Mus musculus: one gene and its partners. The protein of the gene in region 3 interacts with the protein of the main gene of each other region in a pairwise test. Links are inferred from orthologs where the notes say so. Each region holds a gene or a part of one and is shown on either strand. Other genes may lie near its edges.

Region 1 (4,903 bases), on a different chromosome or scaffold from region 3:
TGCTAATGAGAAGGCATTCAGTTCTTTATGCCTTCAGCCTTAGCCCATCCTGGATATTTGGGGACCTCTGTCCCCAAAACTATATAAGCCTTGAAGCACCCCAAGTAAAGTTGATCTGCCTCCTCACAGCTGGTCCCAGTGTGATTTCCATAAGTAGTCACAGGGTTTCTGACCCCCTTCCTGTTGCTCCCCACCCCCATCCCACCCCCCATTCATTGTCTCTGCTCCATTTGCCATAGTCCTTGGAGCCCAACACTGCACATTTGACTAAATGTTTACTTAACTCTCCAAAATATTACAGTCAACCTCATGGAGTATTTTCTCCTCAAGGAAACAACATTTCCTCAGCATAATGGAGACTTTGTTTGTTTGTTTGTTTGGTTGGTTGGTTGGTTGGTTTGGTTTGGTTTGGTTTGGTTTGGTTTGGTTTGGTTTGGTTTGGTTTGGTTTGGTTTGGTTTGGTTTGGTTTTTCGAGACAGGGTTTCTCTGTATAGCCCTGGCTGCCCTGGAACTCACTCTGTAGACCAGGCTGGCCTCAAACTCAGAAATCCGCCTGCCCCTGTCTCCAGAGTGCTGCATAATGGAGACTTTTGAGAAGATAAATCCCTCTTTCCACACAGTGATCCTGGAGTGGTGTGGTAGTTTGAATGAGAATGGCCCCATAGGCTCATATATTTAAATACTTAATCACTAGGGAGTAGAACTGTTTGAAAGGATCAGAAGGATTAGGAGGTGTGGACTTGTTGGAGGAAGTGTGTCAATGAGGGTGGGCTTTGAGGTTTCAAGAGTTCTCTCCAGGCCTCTATCTCTCTCTGCCTGCCTGCTTGTGGATCAGGATGTAAAACTCTCAGCTTCTACTCTAGTGCCACGGGCACCTCCAGGCTCCCACCATGATGGTAATGGACTAGCCTCTAAAACTGCAAGCAAGCCCCAATTAAACGCTTTCCATTTTAAGAGTTGCCTTGGTGGTGGTGTCTTTTCACAGCAATAGAACAGTGGACAGGACAAGTGGTTATTCCTAATTGAGAGAACACATGCTGCCTTCAATACAACCAGCCCTTCCCAAGAAGTCCACCCCCTGGGTTACCTTAGCAACTCAGCATCAGCCTCATAGTCCTCCTCTGTCTGATGGCTCGGGGTTGGAGTTTGCACCAAAGCCATGTCCTTATGAGGCAGCTTGTCTTCTAACTGGAATATAGAAAGCAAATTTGCTGCCAATAGCATGCAACATTGTAAAATTCAAGTAAGGAAGGATTTTAGACTGTGCAGAATTGAAATCATACCACGCCATGGCTTATACTAACCATGATATCTGCAAACTACAGCTTTTTAGTTAAGGTATAGCCCATCTGCAGCAAGCACCCCCCCCCCCCCAGGAAGCACTCAGCACAGTTTTGGAAATGGCTCTCCCCTCCCCCCCCCCCCCCCCCCCCCCGACCGTGTGAGTCCTGGAGAACAAAGCCAGATCACCAAGCTTGGTGGCACTCAAGCTTGGTGGCAGACACGTTCACCTGCTGAGCTGTCTTACCAGCTGAGGGAAGGAGGTTGGGGAACAGCTCAGCCAATGGCTTTGTAGCTCACATGCAAAACCCAAAGGGATGCTCAGGAGAGCCCAGAAAATCCCAAGAGCACAAGAACTCTGTGCCAGCCACCTTTTCCACTGTCAGAGACCAGATATCAGATCCAAGGTCCCCAGAGCCCTTGTTTGCAAGGATATTAGGGACATGATGGCCTTGTGTGCAGGCCATGGTGAGGATGATGGTTTTCAGGTCGTGAAGAGGAAGCAGAAGGACTTTCAGGAAGAATAGCATTGCTATCCTTGGAGTGAATGGGTGACAGCTTGGACCAGGTTCTTAGAACCCTTAGACTCTCCCAGTGCACATGGGGAATACATGAGCTAAGGGCAATGTTAAGCCTGGGGGGTGAACAACTGTTCTGTTGACCACCCCTGCACCGTTCCAAAGGCTGCAGAGTGCTCATATGTTGTGGGGCATGATGGAGGCTGGCTGCTGGTTGGTCTCAAGGCGCCATTATCCATCCTGCGGATGGGATGTATGCAAGGGACGAGTGAGTGTCCAGCCGGAGACCCGAGGGGGCAACTAAAGCTGCAAACCAGGTGAGAAAGACAGAGGACATGCAGCAACTGAGCCACCCAGAGTCACGGCTCAGGAGAAGAAAGCAGAGGTGACAAGTTTGCCTGAGGAGAATACTCAAGAATGCTCGACAGGCCTTTGTGCCCCCCACTGCACACACCAACCACCACTACCACCCCACCCCCACTGCGCACACTTTGTTGGGAGTGACCCAGGCTACTCACATTCTAGCAAGCCCTCTGACACAGAGGCCACCCCACCCCAGCCATCTGGGTGTTTTTCAGTGTCCAGCCCTGATTACTTCACCTTTGACCCATAATGGCCTTCCCCTGCCAAGAGCCGCCGCCGCTGGCAGACCAGGACGTACCTTGCTGCGGCGATGTCTGGAAGGATTACCGTGCTCTCTTCCAAGGTCCAAGCGGCTAGGGTGGTTGGCAGGGAAGAAGCCCTGTCTGTCCTCCCTGCAGAAGAGAGACAACCTCAGTACTGCAGACACAGTCCAGAGAGGCAGACCCAGGAGCCTTTTAATTCCACAGAATCTAGCTGGCCATTGGAAGCGTCTCTGTCTGGGGAACAGCCAGCTAGGGAATTCCTTGCTAAGGACCCATCATCTCTGGACTTTTCATAATTACACCCAGGCTACAAAACAAACCAAAGTCTTTTCAAAGAGAGAACTTGGGTAGATAAGAAGGTAGTGCCTCTCTCTCATTGGCACATCTGAGCCAGTGAGGTTCCCAGTGAGCTGTCATATGTTAGGAGCTGAACCCGAGACCCTGCCCAACTACCTAGTTCCTAGCTGCCTGAGCTTACAGCCTTGTTAGCCCCTGTCAGCTCTTTTTCCTCCAGCAGTGACTGGCTTCTTGTTCTCCTGGTCGATTAGGGTCCCAGAAGCAGCCCTCTCCTCCCCTCCCCGCTGTCTCTCAGAGATAGGATGACTCCAGGCTCAAACCTCACCTCTCCAAGAGTCCTCCAATCAGTCCAGCAGGCACTGTGACCAGTATCAGGGCAGAATGGGAACATTCACCAACTGGGCCAATGGCTGGAATGTGGTGGCTCTTGGAGGCGGGAACGGAATTATGAAACTGGTTTATCTTAACCTCGAATCATTCCATAAAGCTGCAGCCTGGCTTCTAAAAACCATTTCCCAGAATAGGGACCTTGCTGGGAAGTATACTGTTCGAATGTTTCACTTTCCTCTCTTCCTTTACACACACTGTGAGGTGTACGGACAGAGGACTGGCCATTGGCGTGGCTCAGGGTAAGAGCGCTTGCGTGTGCCAGACCCTGAATTCCATCCCCAGCCCTGCTAAAGAACCCTTCATTGCTCCTTCCCAGCTGTGAGTCAGACTCCACACTAAGCGGTTGCTGCTGAGCTAGGACCTGGAAGGCCACAGACATCTATGCTTGCATGACTGTGGATCAGAATAACCTGCCCTTGGCCTGATTCTCCATATGTAAGGTGCACACCGTTCTAGTGTTGATATCTTTAAGCCATTGTGAGATGCCTCAGAGTATGTGCTATGTTACCCAGCAGACATCCCAAATGCCATAAACTCACAGTGGCTGTACCCACTAGGTTCCCTCCTGTCCCAGGCTGTCTTTGTGTGTGTGTGTGTGTGTGTGTGTATGTGTGTGTTGGGGGTGAGGGGTTGTCTGCAAACCCACTACCAGCCTGCAGAGTAATGATTCACACGAGGCAAGAAAGAAATCCGGTTCAACACAACTTGTTAGCCTGTGCTGCTTCAAACTTCTGAAATCTGACCTGAGCAGTTTATTTTCGACATCACTAAACATAGTACAACCTTGGAAAAAAGTTTCCGAGTGACAATTACCACAATAAACCTTAAGACATGACCACATCAAAACTCCATGACAACAAACATGTCTTTGGCAAAGTACCTGTGACCTCTTCCACAAGAATGGGTTCTAACTGACTGAGATAGGATGCTCAGGGGTCTGGGAAGAGGCTGGGGATTCGGCTCTGCAGACAGCAAAGGTCTGTATCAAGCTATTAAATACTTCCAATCCAAAACAGAGATGGGTGTAACTCTTCCTGCTGTGAAAAGCCTGCATGTATGAGATTCCTGGTTTATCTAGGAGAAACTTCTCTGTTCTTCTCTGTGAGCACAAAGGGCCTCATGCCTTCTATACCACTGGATCAGATACAGATGTGTGACCTGGGTCACAACCCCACGAAGAAAGCAGCACCAGAATTAATAACTGGCCCCTGAAATCCTTCAATGCAAACTGTTTTAAAGACCAACACTTGGTAGAAGGCTCAGGTTGGTGACATGTTTGCTGTGCAGGTGTGAGTTTGATTCTCAGCAGCCACAGTAAAAAACCACTGTGCCTATATCATCCAAGCTGGGGAGGTGGGGCCAGGGGGATCCTGAGACTTGCCAACCAGTCAGGCTCTGTAGGAGACACTGTCTCAAACCTAAAGTGAAGGTGACTGAAGGGGTTATTCATGTCAAACTCTAGCCTCCACACTCGCACACACACAGCTGTGCACCAAGGCATACACACATACATGAATACTTAAACACGATTGGCCCATGCACTTGGTGGAAAAACTTGACCTGAAGCCCAAAGAGGAGGCATGCCATAGATGTCTTATTTGTGATTGAACACTCTATACTCAGCCACTGGTACCTTGGCTAGTTGTGAGTTCTGGGTTACCCACCATCCCCTGTGTCTTAGTCAGGGTTTCTATTCCTGCACAAACATCATGACCAAGAAGCAAGTTGGGAAGGAAAGGGTTTATTCAGCTTACACTTCCACATTGCTGTTCATCACCAAGGAAGTCAGG
Region 2 (4,230 bases), on a different chromosome or scaffold from region 3:
CACCTTTATAGCTGCTGAAGGCTAGCCTCCTGCTATGAAATTCAGCGCTTGGGGGCTCACTAGCAAGGACACATTGCTATTTTAAAAGTTCTCATCAATAATACTGGAGTTGTGCAAAAGAATATCTACACATGCCGGGCGTGGTGGCGCACGCCTTTAATCCCAGCACTTGGGAGGTAGAGGCAGGCGGATTTCTGAGTTTGAGGCCAGCCTGGTCTACAAGGTGAGTTCCAGGACAGCCAGGGCTATACAGAGAAACCCTGTCTCAAAAAACCAAAAACCAAAAACCAAAACAAAACAAAAAAAAAGACTATCTACACATATGCATATGCTTATTGAGTACTAAATGAGAACCCACCCAAGAAACTTATAAATGAATTCTCTCTTCCCCTAGTTCCCTGGATATTTCCCTACGTACACTTCTCCAAACCCTATCCTTTGGTCTGCCCCCACCCCCAGAATTTTGTCCTTATTCTGAATTCCGTGTTTTTTATTCTCTTACCTTTAAAAACATTGGTGATTTACCATGCAGTGATGTGTCTCTGCAAACATAGCCACAGTAGAGGAAGAACTCACGGCTTCTCTGAAGAGGCAGCTGAAGCTCAGCCTCCACAGCCTAGGCCCCTTAGGCAGACACCTCAGGAGCTAGAGACTATGTATCCAACCCCGGATGTGCCCCAGAAGTGTGAGGGATATACCTGAGATAGTCTCTCCTGCACAATTTCCGTCCCAGCTTGTAGTAGAGGCGCCTCCCCACCTCTCCCAGCCGACACCCACAGAGGTCACAGCTGAGGCAATCCTCATGCCAGTACTGGTCGATGGCTTTCAGGAAGTAGCGGTCCCCTATGTTCTGCTGGCAGCCACCACATGTCAGCAGGGATGGGGGTATCTGCAGCACCTCATCCACGGGTTCCCTGGGGAAGAGCCAAGCATTAGGATATGCTGCCTGAAGGGAGACAAGCACAAAGTCCCAGGAATCACTGCATGCCCAAGGTTCTATGGGGAACCTCACTACATTTCCTTCCAGCAGTATAAGGAGAAAGGACGCCCAAATTCAGACTGCATAGACACAGACAACCTTGGATAAAGACGGGAGTGGGCTAGAGAGACCTTATCATCTGAAAAACTGAAGACGGGATACCAGGAGGTGTCCAAGGCACCTACAGATAGCCCTTGGACCCTTGACTACATTCCAGCATCTCTGCAGGCACCTCTGATCCAATCTGCTTCTTCCTCCTTCCCCTCCTACTCTCCTCCATCTTCCCAGCCCTCCCTCCCTTTTTTCTTTGGACACAGGCACTGCCAAAGAATCCCAAAGAATAGACTTGGGACCAAAGGAGTTGCTCACAGCCAAAGCATCTGATGACCCCCCCCCCCCCCAGTGTGCTAACAATCTACAGATAACCTGTTGAATGCACCCTACAAAGACCTTCCCGCTGCACAGAATCAAAGGTAGAGAAGGAAGAAAGCCATCGAAATTATATTTGGTTGCCTTCTCTTCCCCAAACAGAAAGTTCCGTCAATATCTGATTATTCCGATTGAAGTTCTGCATTCTTCCATACATCCTGCATGAGTCTTTGGATGGAGATTCGGTTTCATAGGTAGAGAGACAGCCCAACATGTCAGAGGCCCAACGGTCATTTCTCCAGTACCACCTAAAGTGGGGACATACACCCAGTCCATCCTGAGGTGGAACCTGGAGGAGCAGGATGGCAAGTTTATCAGCATCATCCGGAGGCTCTGGGCTGCGTTAGACACTGTCTCAAAGAAGTACAAGATCTGAATGACTCTGGCAGGAAATCTAGGTCACGATGCAGCTCTTAAACAGACAGAGGATAGTGGTGATGTGGTTTTTTTTTTTCCTTCAAACTTTTTTCACCACAGCAAAAGTAGTTTGAATAAAATCAAATTAGTAAAGAGAGTGGAGGAGGGGGCCAAACAATGGATTTAAAAGAGAGTGGAAGGCAATTAAATTGATACCAAAGTCTCAATCCAGGCACGGTGTTCACAGTGAGCCTGAGGGATGTGTTCTTTCATTTAAAAAGTGTTATGTAGGGGATCACAAGATGCTTAGGAGGTGAGGGTGCTTGCCACCAAGCCCAATGATCTGATGTGGTCCCCAGGACACACACAGCGGAAAGAAAGAGCCAATTACAGCAGGCTGTTCTATCCATGCACATAGATAAACACACACACACACACACACACACTAATGTAAAAATTTGCTTTAAAGTCACACATAGGGCCTTCTGCTTGCTTTGCCTCCCTGGAACCTGACCACTTTTGTTTTACATGTAAGAAATAACTTTACTGAGAGAAAACGGCATGGAAGAAATGAATGTGATGTCAGATAGGAGACAGGGGATACTTAATGCTTGTTAATTTGTAATATGTGTTCCTGGAACACTGTTCAAATAAAACCTGCTTTTAAAAAAATCTAGTATAAAAATTTTTTTAATTGGTTTTTATTCCTATTATGAAATCTCCAATGGAATTTCCTCCTGAGTACCCTAGGTGATATGTCTGTGTCTCTTAGTTTTATTTGGCACTTTTACCAAATGACCTTGTGGCGTAATTGGCCTGTACCCATGAAGCCCAGCTTCATTATAGTTGGGGACAGTGAGACTCAGGGAATGAGTGTTTATAGGGCACTCCAGCATCTACAGGTGACCCTATCTAGGAGACTATTAAGCATCCGTTGTCAATATTTAGCTAAATGCTAATGCCAAACCCACCATTTTAGCACAAAATATAAGAGTATCTTCTTTTAGAACCAGGAAGTTTGAAGCTCAGGTCAGTTTCTTTGAGAAAAACAAAGATCAAGTCAGGTTTTAGGTGTTGTTTGTTTGTTTGTTGTTTCAGTACTGATGATCAAACCCAGGTCCCTAGTCGCTTTAGGTAAGTGCTCCACCACTGACTTCTTTCTCAATTCTGTTTGTTTATATTGTTTTTAAAGGTTTATTTTTATTTATAATTGTATGTGTGTGTGTGTGGGGGGGGGGGAAGGGTGAAGATGCACACAAGGGCAGGTGCCCCAGAAGGCCATGGGCCTCAGATACCCTAGAGATGGGGTTACAGAGGGTTGTGAGCCACCCAGTATGGGTGCTGGGAATCCAACCTGGGTCCCATGTAAGAGCAGGGGATGCTCTTAACCACTGAGCTGTATTCCGGTTCTCTCTTCCCTTCACATGGGTTCCAGGAATCAAACTCAGGTCATCAGACTTAGAGCAAGCACCTTTAGCAGCTGAGGCAGCTCGAAAACCCTTTCCTTCCTTTTAAAGTTTAAGACAAGATCTCACTAAATTGCCCAGGTTGTCCTGGAACTTTCCATTCTTCTGCCCCAGTCTCTCATGTATACAGAATTATGGGTGAGGTGGGCTAAGACCTTAAATCGTTTTAATAATACACTAGAAGTTGCCAGGCAGTGGTGGCACACACCTAAAAATCCCAGCACTCTGGAGGCAGAAGCAGGTGGATTTCTGAGTTTGAGGCCAGCCTGGGCTGCAGTGTGAGTTTCAGGACAGCCAGAACTACAAAGAGAAACCCTGTCAGGTTCCTACTAGAGCCTTTGTTTCTATAGGGTATATATAAGGCATCCATCCTCATATTTGAAAGTTAACTAAGATCCTTGGCCTATTCAAGTGCACCAATTCAGAATCTAATCTCCATCCTTTGCATAGCTCAAGGTTTTACAGTGGGCTTTCAAAAACACTCACAGAACTCCCATCATGCTTGATGCCCAGAGGGTGGATGTTATTGCAGCCAACTTTGAAAGAGAAGAATCTGTACTTAGCTGGAACAAAATTCGCTAGAATTAAAATGACCTGTAGGGAAGCAGAAGGGAACACCAATTGCATGGTGAAGGATATCTGTGTTCATGAATACTGGCTTCCTGTGCACACGCTACCTTTGCACGTGCCTAGGCAAGGACCGATCTGCATCTGGAGATCCAAGCTGGTAAAGACCCAAGCTGGCTTTGAGCAAGCACTCAGTGAGGCCGCTGGCAGGAGAGCTAGTTGCACGAGAAAGAGACACGAGGGTCTGAGAACAACAGATAAAGACAGGACAAGATTCGGACTCGGTCTATCTTTCTATAATTAATGACATGCCATTACCTCTGTTGAACAATTCAAGCCAAAGACTAAATGAGATTTACCTTAAGTTAATATTTGATATTCTCCCGCCAGCCTGTCCCAAATATGACACCTGAGTATCTCTTTAGCTTTGAT
Region 3 (4,901 bases):
CCCCGAGGCAGGCGGACTGCCTTTGAACATTCGCCCTTGTGCCCGGCCTGAGTGAAGGGGCTTTCCCTGAGAAGACAGCTCTATCTATAAATACACCACGGGTTGGGACTGTGTGTCCACAGCCGTCCTTAGGGACGCCACACTTCCAGAGAGGGGTGTTAACCCATTGCTTTCCCAGGCTCTTCAGGACCAGACACAGGAACTGAGGAAGGTTAAGGAGAGACCCCTTGTGGAGGTGCTTGTCCTAAGAGAGTGGGAGGATTTGCTGAGAAACCAAAAAAAAAAAGTGCATGTTAAATTTCAAATAAAGTTAAAATCTGGATCATCCCAATACTGTATCCCAGACTCAGGCTAAGCAAGAGAAGTTCAAATTTGGGGTCAGCTTGGCTCCATAGCAAGTTTCCTGTCAATCGGCCCTACCGTGGCAGGACCTTGTCTAAATAACAAATAATATCTTTCTGCCTTGATCAGTGCTGGGAACGGCTGGGGACAGAACCCAGAGCATCCTGCATGCAAAGCTCTGCTTCAGCGCATTATTACACCCCCAGACATAGGGCTGTTTTATATACACACCCACTGCCTTGGGATAGACCCTGCTTCCACAGTTAACATGTCAGCTCCAAAGTGATCATTTCTCACTGGCAGGATCTGTTCAAACTAGACTTGGAGACTTAAGGACTTAAACTAGCTTCTGTGCCCTCAGCACAAAGTGTAACATATAGCCAAGAAACTAGGAAACATTAGCCGGGGGCACCAGGGCCCTCTGTTGTTTTATGGGTTGCAAGACAATATGTTGCTACAACTTCTGTATTTGAGTGTCTTGACATTGGTGGTGAGCCTGGCCTTCAATGGCTGAGCCATCTCTCTAACCTTGCTCTGGTATTTCATTGTTGAAACTAGGGTGGTCTCACTCTGTAGCCCAGCTTGCCCTAGAACTTGCTGGATTTCCCAGGCTGGTCTTGAACCAGTGGTTCCCCTCTCTTGCCTCAGCCTCCCAAGTGCTAAACATGCACTACCATTCCCTATATATTCTCCCCCACCCCCACCCCCCGCCCAGCCTCAGCTGGAATTCACCCTGAAGACCAGTCTAGTATCGAACAACCTATACGTTTTTGTTTTTCAAAGAAGTTACGAGGTTGGACAGGCAAGGCATAGGCAGGCCTTTAATCCCAACACTGCAGTAAGCAATAGCAGGTGGATCTCCATGAGTTGAAGGCTGGCCTGGTCTACACAGTTCAAGCCAGACAGGGCTACCGAGACCCTGCCTCAAAGACAAACAACAAACCAACAATCCATTAAAAGACATATGAATAGAATAAAAAGCATAAAAACTGAAAGCTGTTTTCATCCCTTCCCCACCCCTCCTCAGTCATTCTTCCACATGGAGATGGATAAACATTTCCAAGCCTAATATACACATCAAATTCTCCCATTCTACAGAGGACACTGCCGCATTGAAGTTGAAGTGCTCATGAAAGACCACAGAGCTGGCAAGTGCTCAAGCTGAAATTCAAATCCAAATTGTCTGACTCATAATTCAGCGTGCATTCCTCCCGCTAAGCTCCAGGGTGTAAAATTTTATGGATGAAGAAACCGAGGCTCAGAGAGGTCCCTGGCCATCAGAGCCACATGGTTCACTGCCCAGTATGGGAAAAGCGGAGGCGATGGCATTGGCTGCATGGAGGAGAGGGCCTTGGCTTGAGCAGATCTGAGTTTGCTCAGGGCTACATGGGTCTAGTTTGCAAATCCCCTTGCTGGTTCGGGGCTAGCCCAGGTTCTTCGAGGACAGGCTCCAACCAAAAGGAGCCTGCCAGAGTTGGTGGGGTCTCGAGCCCCGGGGCGGGCGCGGGAACCGTGTCCACAGCGTGGCTGCAAGCTCTTTAGCTGTACGGGGCACCCGGGGTGGGTGGTTGAGTCCGGCGCGTGGCGGGCGGGGCACGGGTGGCGTGGGGCGGAGCCTGCCGCGGGCGGCGCTGTCCTGGGGCTCCGGGCCGCGGTGGCCACTACCAGAGGCAGCTGGAGAGAGCGGGCGCAGAGAAGGTAGAACCTCCCCGACCCCCCGCCTGGGCTCTGACTGTCTCAGAACAGCGGACCCTAAGGCGAATTCCTGGGGAGGGGGTCTGGTCCCTGGGACTCCGAGTCCCATCACCCGGGCGAGGGCTTGTGCCAAGATTCCTATTAAGTCACATAGTGAAGTTGGAAAACATACCCAGGACCTCCCTGCACGCCGGCACAGCCGGCTCTTCCCTGAGGGGCTTCGGGAAGATGCGACCAGACGCCTGTACTCTGGGAACGCAGGGATAGGGTGTCCGGGAGGGATGCGGGTGAGTGCTCTTTGCACAACTCAATCTGTTGTGAGAGGTTGAGGGAAAAGACACCTGTTGGGATGTTTGGGGGGGGGGGGATGCCGTGAAAACCCTGGCATTCTGACAGGACAGCATCTCTCCTCTGCTAGCCCAGCCCTTACTAACCCTCCCTCCACCCGTCCACTCTGCATTGGCTCATTTGCCTGAAGTGAGCCTGGGGTGAAGGGGTTAGCACCCTGCAAGTCACTTTCCTTGGTGTCACTGGCCCACAAGGGGGTGTGACCAGGAGCAGCATAGGTTTGTGCTCAGCCAGGGTCCACCGTGACTTCAGGATGCCCACTTCCAACCTCATTTTCCTCACCCTGGGCGTGGAGAAAGGACAAACATACATTTGTGCGGGGGGGGGGGGGGGTGTCGGCTCCTGCTCCCCTATGCAGGGGAGGGTGGGGTGGACTTTTCCAGAGAGGGAGCCAGGCCTGGCCCTAGCCCCAGGAGTTCTCGTCACCCCCCACCCCTCACTTCTCCAGAGAGCTGCCAAAACCAGCTCAGGACAGGATTATGTGTACTGGGTAGACCACGGAGAGGCATCAGGGACAGACTGGAGGAGCAGAGAGGCGCAGAGGGAGGTGGAGAGGGGACCAGCATCAGACAGGTTGTGTCCATCACACACACCCCCCATCCTTCCAGCCTCACTGGGCAGGCAGAGGGCTGATGAGTGGGTTGAACAGGGCCACTCGTCCATCAGGGAAGTCGTAGATTCAGTGGCTGGCTCAACTGAAGAAGGACGTGGTGCCTTTTACCTCCTCCCTAGCTCCAAGAACTCAGCTCAGCCCATTTGGTCTCCTCCTCAAATTCCCAAGCCCTGGGGTCCCAGGGAGGGGGAGCAGGACCTAGCTTTGCCCCCCTCTCTGTCCTTTGCATGCCCTGATCTGGCCTACTTTGGCCAGCGATCCTTGGATTCTTCTCATGGTGCCATTCAAAGGCAGCAGAAACAGTGTTTTTCCTGGAAAGCAGAACTTAGATGGGATGAGGATGTGGGTAGGCGGGGCCTCAAAGAGAAGGCAGGGAATGGAGGATGGGGGTAGGGAGAGACAAGATTTGAGGACAGGTATGAAGACCCCTGCTACCCAGTGTTTACAGCTAGACTTAAGGGTGGACTTTCCAGGGATACGGGAGGGAGAACCTGGCAAGCATGGGCTGCTATGGCTACATCTCTCCTTCTTAGGTGTCCCAGTTTGGCTGAGCATTGTAAGGAAAAAAAAAAAAGCAGAAAACTAGTTGTACATGAGCTAAGTCACCCTGAGCCAGTGCCTTGTGGATGCTGGCACTCATGGGGAGGATAAGTCACTGCCTCTTCTCAGGAGATGAAGCCATTAACCCACTTAGTTTATCCCTTGGACAAAAAAAAATGCCCGGGGCAGCCTGTATGAGCCTTGTCCTCCGTAAGGAGCTTAGTTAAAAGGAAAAGAAACAAATGCTCTTGGGTTCTGTGAGCGGGAGGAGGTTGGTTTTCCTTTTTTTGTTGTTTGTTTGTTTGTTTTGTGATAGAGGTCCCATATCACCCAAGCTGAACCCCTTGAACTCCATCCCAACTGTGGAATTAAGGCTTGTGACCCCACCCCTGGTGCCCGGAGGCCTCTGGCTGGCCCCTCATGGGTGACTGGCATAGCCTGCCTCCTCTAGGCCCTAGAGCTCTAGGAGAAAGAAGCTCTGGCCCAAGCTGCCTATGCACAACCCCTACCCCCACCCACATCAGCCTCCAAAGGAGCTAAGTCCATCTTGGGCCATAGGGAGGAGACTAAACTGAACTAAGAGGCTGAGGTCAGACCCCCCACCCTCTAGCAGATGACAAAGACAACGTCCCTTCTTGCTCCCACCCTTAGGTCCTAAAGGGGTGGACCATTCCTCCCCCACCCCTCCAGGCTGTTGGTGTTGTGCTGAGACAGCCCTTCAGTCCCCCCAGATAGCTGGAGGGGTAACGCCATGCTCCTCCCTCCTCAGAGCACCCTCCAAGCCCCGATGCCAGAGTAGCCACCCTGTCCCCTGCTCCCCAGCCCAGGGGCAGTCACAGGAAGAGCAATGGAATCTTGGCTGGGCAGGTAAGAAAGAGGGGTAGCAGTGGAAAGGACCAGCTCTGTCTCCATTAGGGCAGGGAAGGGGCAGAGGGTAGCGGTGCACACCTGTAACTCAAGCAGAGGCAGGTGGATGCCTGTGAGTTTGAGGGCAACCTGGCCTACAGAGTGAGTTCCAGGACATTCAGAACTCAGAACTGTTACACAGAGAAACCCTGTCTCAACACACACACACACACACACAAACACACACACACACACACACACACACACACACACACACACGACACACGAGAGAGAGAGAGGGGGGGGGGGGGACACACACGCACACAGGAAGGGACTGTGAACTGTTGGAAGGGGTCTGGCAAGTGACAAGGGACGTCTGCTTCCTGAGAAGCTGGGTGGGGGCAGGCAATGTCGTAACACCTCTGGCTCCCTCTGATGTCCCCCACCCCTCGGTGTGCAGGCTCTGGCTGTGTATGATGCTGCTCCTGCCTCTCCCTCAGCCCTGCCAGGATCAGGA
Region 4 (4,230 bases), on a different chromosome or scaffold from region 3:
CACTAACTGGTCTGTGTGTGGTGTGCATGTGAGTTAGAGGTCAGAGGACAGCTTTCTGAGGCTCTCATGAGTTTGCATCCTCCTACCATGTGGGGCCCTGGGGATTAAACTCAGGGTGTCAGACTTAGTGGGGAGCACCTTCATGTGCAGACCCATCTTGTGGGCCCTAGTTTATGCATTTTTAAAAAAAGATTCATTTATTTCATGTTATGTGTATGAGTGTTCTGTCTGTCTGTATGTGCCCAATGTGCATGCTTGGTGACCTCAGAGGAGGGCATCAGATACCTTGGAAGTTACAGATGGTTGTGAAACCTGTGTCCTTTGTAAGAACAAGTGCTCTTAACCAATGAGGCGTTTCTCCACCTCTAGGTCTATGCATTTAAAGTAGCCACAGATTTTCTGAAATCAAGGGGTTGGGAGATGTTTTTTTGAGCCCTATACTCCCTTATGTTAACCTTAGGAATAGTGTGACAAACTCTGATTGGGAAGGTGGGGAAAAGGTCTAAAGAAAACCAGAGTGGTCTCCACACTCACCTCAAAGCAAATATTCTCCCCTTCCTTGTCACAGTCCAGCCACAGCACAACATAGTCACAGCCTCTGCCCTCCACCTGCCACAAAGCACACACTGACAATCAACCCTATGACATTCCCCTTTGGGGACAGGAGATGGAACCAGGTACTGGGCTTCCAGTACGAGGAGCTGAGCAAGAAGCAGTCTACAGCGAGGCTGTCTCAGACTCAGAAAAGGTTTTGGTTCAGAACTATCAAACTGTTAGATCAGAAAATTGTATTTACAGTCTGTCTATGCTTCTGCGTGTGGTGTGGAGCATGTGCAGGGCAAGCAGGTGCATAAGTGGGGCAGAGTCAGAGGACACTGTGGGGTACCTTGTTCTACCAGTCTCTGTCTTGTCCACTTAAGACAAGGTTTCTCACCGAACCTTGAAGTACGTGGTTAGCCAGCAAGCCCCAGCGATCCTCCTGTCTCTGCCCTCCACAGCACTGACCATGGGTGCTAAGATCCAAACTCAGGATCTTATGTTTGTGCAGCAAGTGCTCTTACCCACTGAGCCATCTAACCCCTAGGATAAGGATTTTTACTTTTATTATATAGTCACAAAATACAGTGTGTGCTCCTTAATTTCCTGAGGGAGAGGCCTTACTTTTTACATTTTCAAACATGTACATAATATACTTCTAGTACATTCGACCCCATCATTTTCTCTCGCCCTCATCTACTCTCACTGGCCCTCCTCCTCTCCGTATGACATAAGCATCAAGAGTGAAATGAAACAGTTCAGTATTAACAGTGCTTGTTTTGGATCATGTGGTTTTACTGTTTTTCCTTTAAACTTATCTTTATTTTCCAGTGTTTTGTTCTGTTTTGTTTTGTTTTTTGTAAACAAGTATTTCTTGAAACACTTTCTCAGATTTTTGTTTTTTTCTTATTGAGTGAGACAGGGTCTGTCTGTGTAGACCAAGCTGGCTTTGAACTCACAGGGGTTCATCTGCCTCTGCCTCCCTGGTGCCGGTAATCTCACCATGAGCCGTCAAGGATGTTATATCAGACCAGTTAGCACCTAAGACCTATTTTTCAAATTATAACTTAGGCAATATTGACTGGGCTGGTTTGGATAACCAAAGATAGCTTCCAAGGGCTTTAACCACATGGTAGCAGCTTACATTACATTACTCAGGAAGGGAAGGATTAGACGTTTCCAGTTTTTTGGTTTTTGTTTGTTTTTTTAATAAGATGGGCTCCTCGGTGGGCTTGTAGATGCTCCCTTACCTGCAGGAACTTGACCATGTTCAGCTTGGGGTTAGCTTCCTTTTTCTCTGTTGGAGCTTGGCTGAAGAGCTCTGCAGGATCCACCTTATCCCACTTGTTGTACTTCCCTGTAAACCGTATCCAAAGACACTGAGCCACACTTCACAAAGGCTTGGCCTCTGCAGCTGTCACAACTAGGAATAGGATAGGGTGTATCATGCAGAGATGGGGACGGGTAACTTACCCAGCTGTTAACCACTTCCTGATCTGTTGGGAACAGGGTCTAACTGGACCCTGGGTAGTGCTGTACGGTGTTCCTTTCAATAGGACAGAGACAGGAGGAGAGTGGTCATCTTACCCAGAAAATCCAGTGTCATCACATGACCGCAGACAGACGTCATCTTGAAGTGGACAGGTTGGCCAGCAAAGGTTCCTGTGTACTTGTGCACTGAACATGCCCCATTCAGCCCTTTGTGTGAGGACATGTTTCCTAGGGAGGCAAACCACACAGACAACTGTGAGGCTGACTTATAACCCTGTGGGTCCCTGAGCCTACATGCTAACTGTCAGGGGACACGAGTTCTCCTTCTCCAGAGTGGTCACTGGTAACATCCCTTAGCTCCCACTGCAGATAAGTGGGTACTGGGTGGCTTAATGGTGCTGAGGGATGGAAGCATCTATGAAAGTTTCACAGAAATTCACACCAGTCCCATACTTCCTGGGAACTAGAGGCGGAGACTCTTCAGGTCTCACTCCATTTCTATTTTCAATTTGAATTCTACCTTTATTTATTTAGATTTTAAGGTTATTATATCTTACACTATGGTTCCTCAGCTGAACACTCTTGGCACTTGGAAGTGAGATGATGCCTTCTGGATCCCCCTGGACCTTTGGAGTGTGTATTCTCAGCCTAACTAGGGGCTCTTCCTCCTCCAAGAGCTGGTAAAAGGAGGTCAAAGTGGATGTCTGCCATTGCTGGATAGCCACTCAGCATCCAAGTACTCTTTCTATTTAGAGGGCCCTCCCTCCATGTACCACCTCAGTAGCAGAGTGGATCCTGATGGGCAAATCTTCCACTACCTTCCTGGCTCTGAGGTCACTGGCCACTTGTGAGTGACATGAGATGTAGGGAATGTAACTGTAACCACATCCAGGGCCCAGCAGATAGTAGTGAGTATCTAGTGGTGCAAAAACTAAGCCCAGCATGCTGACAATGACTGCACTTTGTACATCATTACTTTTCCTGGAGGCTTCAGCCCTGGGACTTCCACATGTGGACATAGCATGTCACAGGAGACTTGCTAATAAGGTGCTTCCTGAAACCTGCCAATCCCAGCTGAACCCACCAGAAAAAGAAATGATCAAAAAAGCACAAAAGACTCTGCTTATAGATGAAAGCAATCAAACAGCCTAGTGTTTGTTTTTCCTACCTCGGGAGAGGATTTTGGCAATGGACTGTGCCAGGGATGGCTTTTCTGCTACCATGAGCACGGTCTTCATTCTTGCTCCTGGCTGTCAGGGCCCACAGACCGTTGCACCCAGACCCAGAACAGCAGCAATAAAAAAGCTTAGAAATGTCTCCTCTGTAGCTCAACACGACTGCCAATGCTGACTCCTAAGGGGAAGAAAAGACAGTACATTTATATCATCTCTCCAATGCTCAGAGAACTCTGTGAAGAGGGACAGAGAAGGCACGGACTAGAGGGAGGTGTGATGTGCTTATGGAGTGCCTTCGTCCAGGCAGCACGTAGCTAAGTGTGGTTAACGATTGCTGAGGAAAGGAAAAAACGTTTTCTTCAGTGGTGTAGCTACTGCTGAAGTATCCAGGATCCTGTAAATAACCTAACGGAACTCACTGGGTTACGCACTCAGAAGGCAGAGGGCAACAGTTAGGAAGAGGAAGGCAATCACAGAGAATAGGGCCGAAAAAGGCAGTCAGTGATGAGTATAAAAAGTACATTATATTCGCCGGGCGTGGTGGCGCACGCCTTTAATCCCAGCACTTGGGAGGCAGAGGCAGGCAAATTTCTGAGTTCGAGGCCAGCCTGGTCTACAGAGTGAGTTCCAGGACAGCCAGGGCTATACAGAGAAACTGTCTTGACCCCCCCCCCCCCCCAAAAAAAAGTACGTTATATTCACGTATGAAAATGTCACGAGGAAACCCATTATTATGATAAGGACAAGGAATGTACTTTTCTTCCTTAGGTTGGTGATGGAGATGGAACCCAGGGCCACCAGAATGCTAAGTAAGCACTGACCAATTGTTCAGGCAGTGGGAGTCTGGCTCTATGGAGAGAAGCAGCAGTGACTATGACTTTGACTATGACTAAAACATGCTGGGACCTACAGACCTGGACTCATAGGTTGGGGCAGGGTGTGTGGACCCAAGCCCCTGGACTAGCTGTTGGGATACCTGCCTGTGAAATCATCTCTTAGAAGGGAAAATAGAACAGTGTTATGGAGA

Evidence for each region.
Region 1: the proteins of Adamtsl4 (region 3) and Apol6 interact in binary tests that used the Homo sapiens proteins (3 or more experiments, as listed by UniProt). The two-hybrid records come from large-scale screens. The link is inferred for Mus musculus from reciprocal best matches to the Homo sapiens genes ADAMTSL4 and APOL6.
Region 2: the proteins of Adamtsl4 (region 3) and Lmo2 interact in binary tests that used the Homo sapiens proteins (3 or more experiments, as listed by UniProt). The two-hybrid records come from large-scale screens. The link is inferred for Mus musculus from reciprocal best matches to the Homo sapiens genes ADAMTSL4 and LMO2.
Region 4: the proteins of Adamtsl4 (region 3) and Top3b interact in binary tests that used the Homo sapiens proteins (3 or more experiments, as listed by UniProt). The two-hybrid records come from large-scale screens. The link is inferred for Mus musculus from reciprocal best matches to the Homo sapiens genes ADAMTSL4 and TOP3B.

The regions. Positions count from the first base shown.
Region 1 is NC_000081.6:77,043,317-77,048,219, reverse strand, and holds the start of Apol6 (apolipoprotein L6), read right to left. Parts: upstream 3,146-4,903; 5' UTR 3,049-3,145; intron 3,036-3,048; exon of another isoform or gene 2,880-3,035; intron 2,556-2,879; 5' UTR 2,462-2,555; intron 1,190-2,461; 5' UTR 1,163-1,189; coding exon 1,089-1,162; intron 1-1,088. UniProt on the Homo sapiens protein: May affect the movement of lipids in the cytoplasm or allow the binding of lipids to organelles.
Region 2 is NC_000068.7:103,972,689-103,976,918, reverse strand, and holds part of Lmo2 (rhombotin-2), read right to left. Parts: intron 915-4,230; coding exon 699-914; intron 1-698. UniProt on the Homo sapiens protein: Acts with TAL1/SCL to regulate red blood cell development. Also acts with LDB1 to maintain erythroid precursors in an immature state.
Region 3 is NC_000069.6:95,684,960-95,689,860, reverse strand, and holds the start of Adamtsl4 (ADAMTS-like protein 4 precursor), read left to right. Parts: upstream 1-1,943; 5' UTR 1,944-2,040; intron 2,041-4,189; exon of another isoform or gene 4,190-4,307; 5' UTR 4,308-4,385; coding exon 4,386-4,405; intron 4,406-4,844; coding exon 4,845-4,901. UniProt on the Homo sapiens protein: Positive regulation of apoptosis. May facilitate FBN1 microfibril biogenesis.
Region 4 is NC_000082.6:16,876,983-16,881,212, reverse strand, and holds part of Top3b (DNA topoisomerase 3-beta-1), read right to left. Parts: intron 3,382-4,230; 5' UTR 3,267-3,381; coding exon 3,197-3,266; intron 2,257-3,196; coding exon 2,125-2,256; intron 1,961-2,124; exon of another isoform or gene 1,895-1,960; coding exon 1,788-1,894; intron 610-1,787; coding exon 535-609; intron 1-534. UniProt on the Homo sapiens protein: Releases the supercoiling and torsional tension of DNA introduced during the DNA replication and transcription by transiently cleaving and rejoining one strand of the DNA duplex.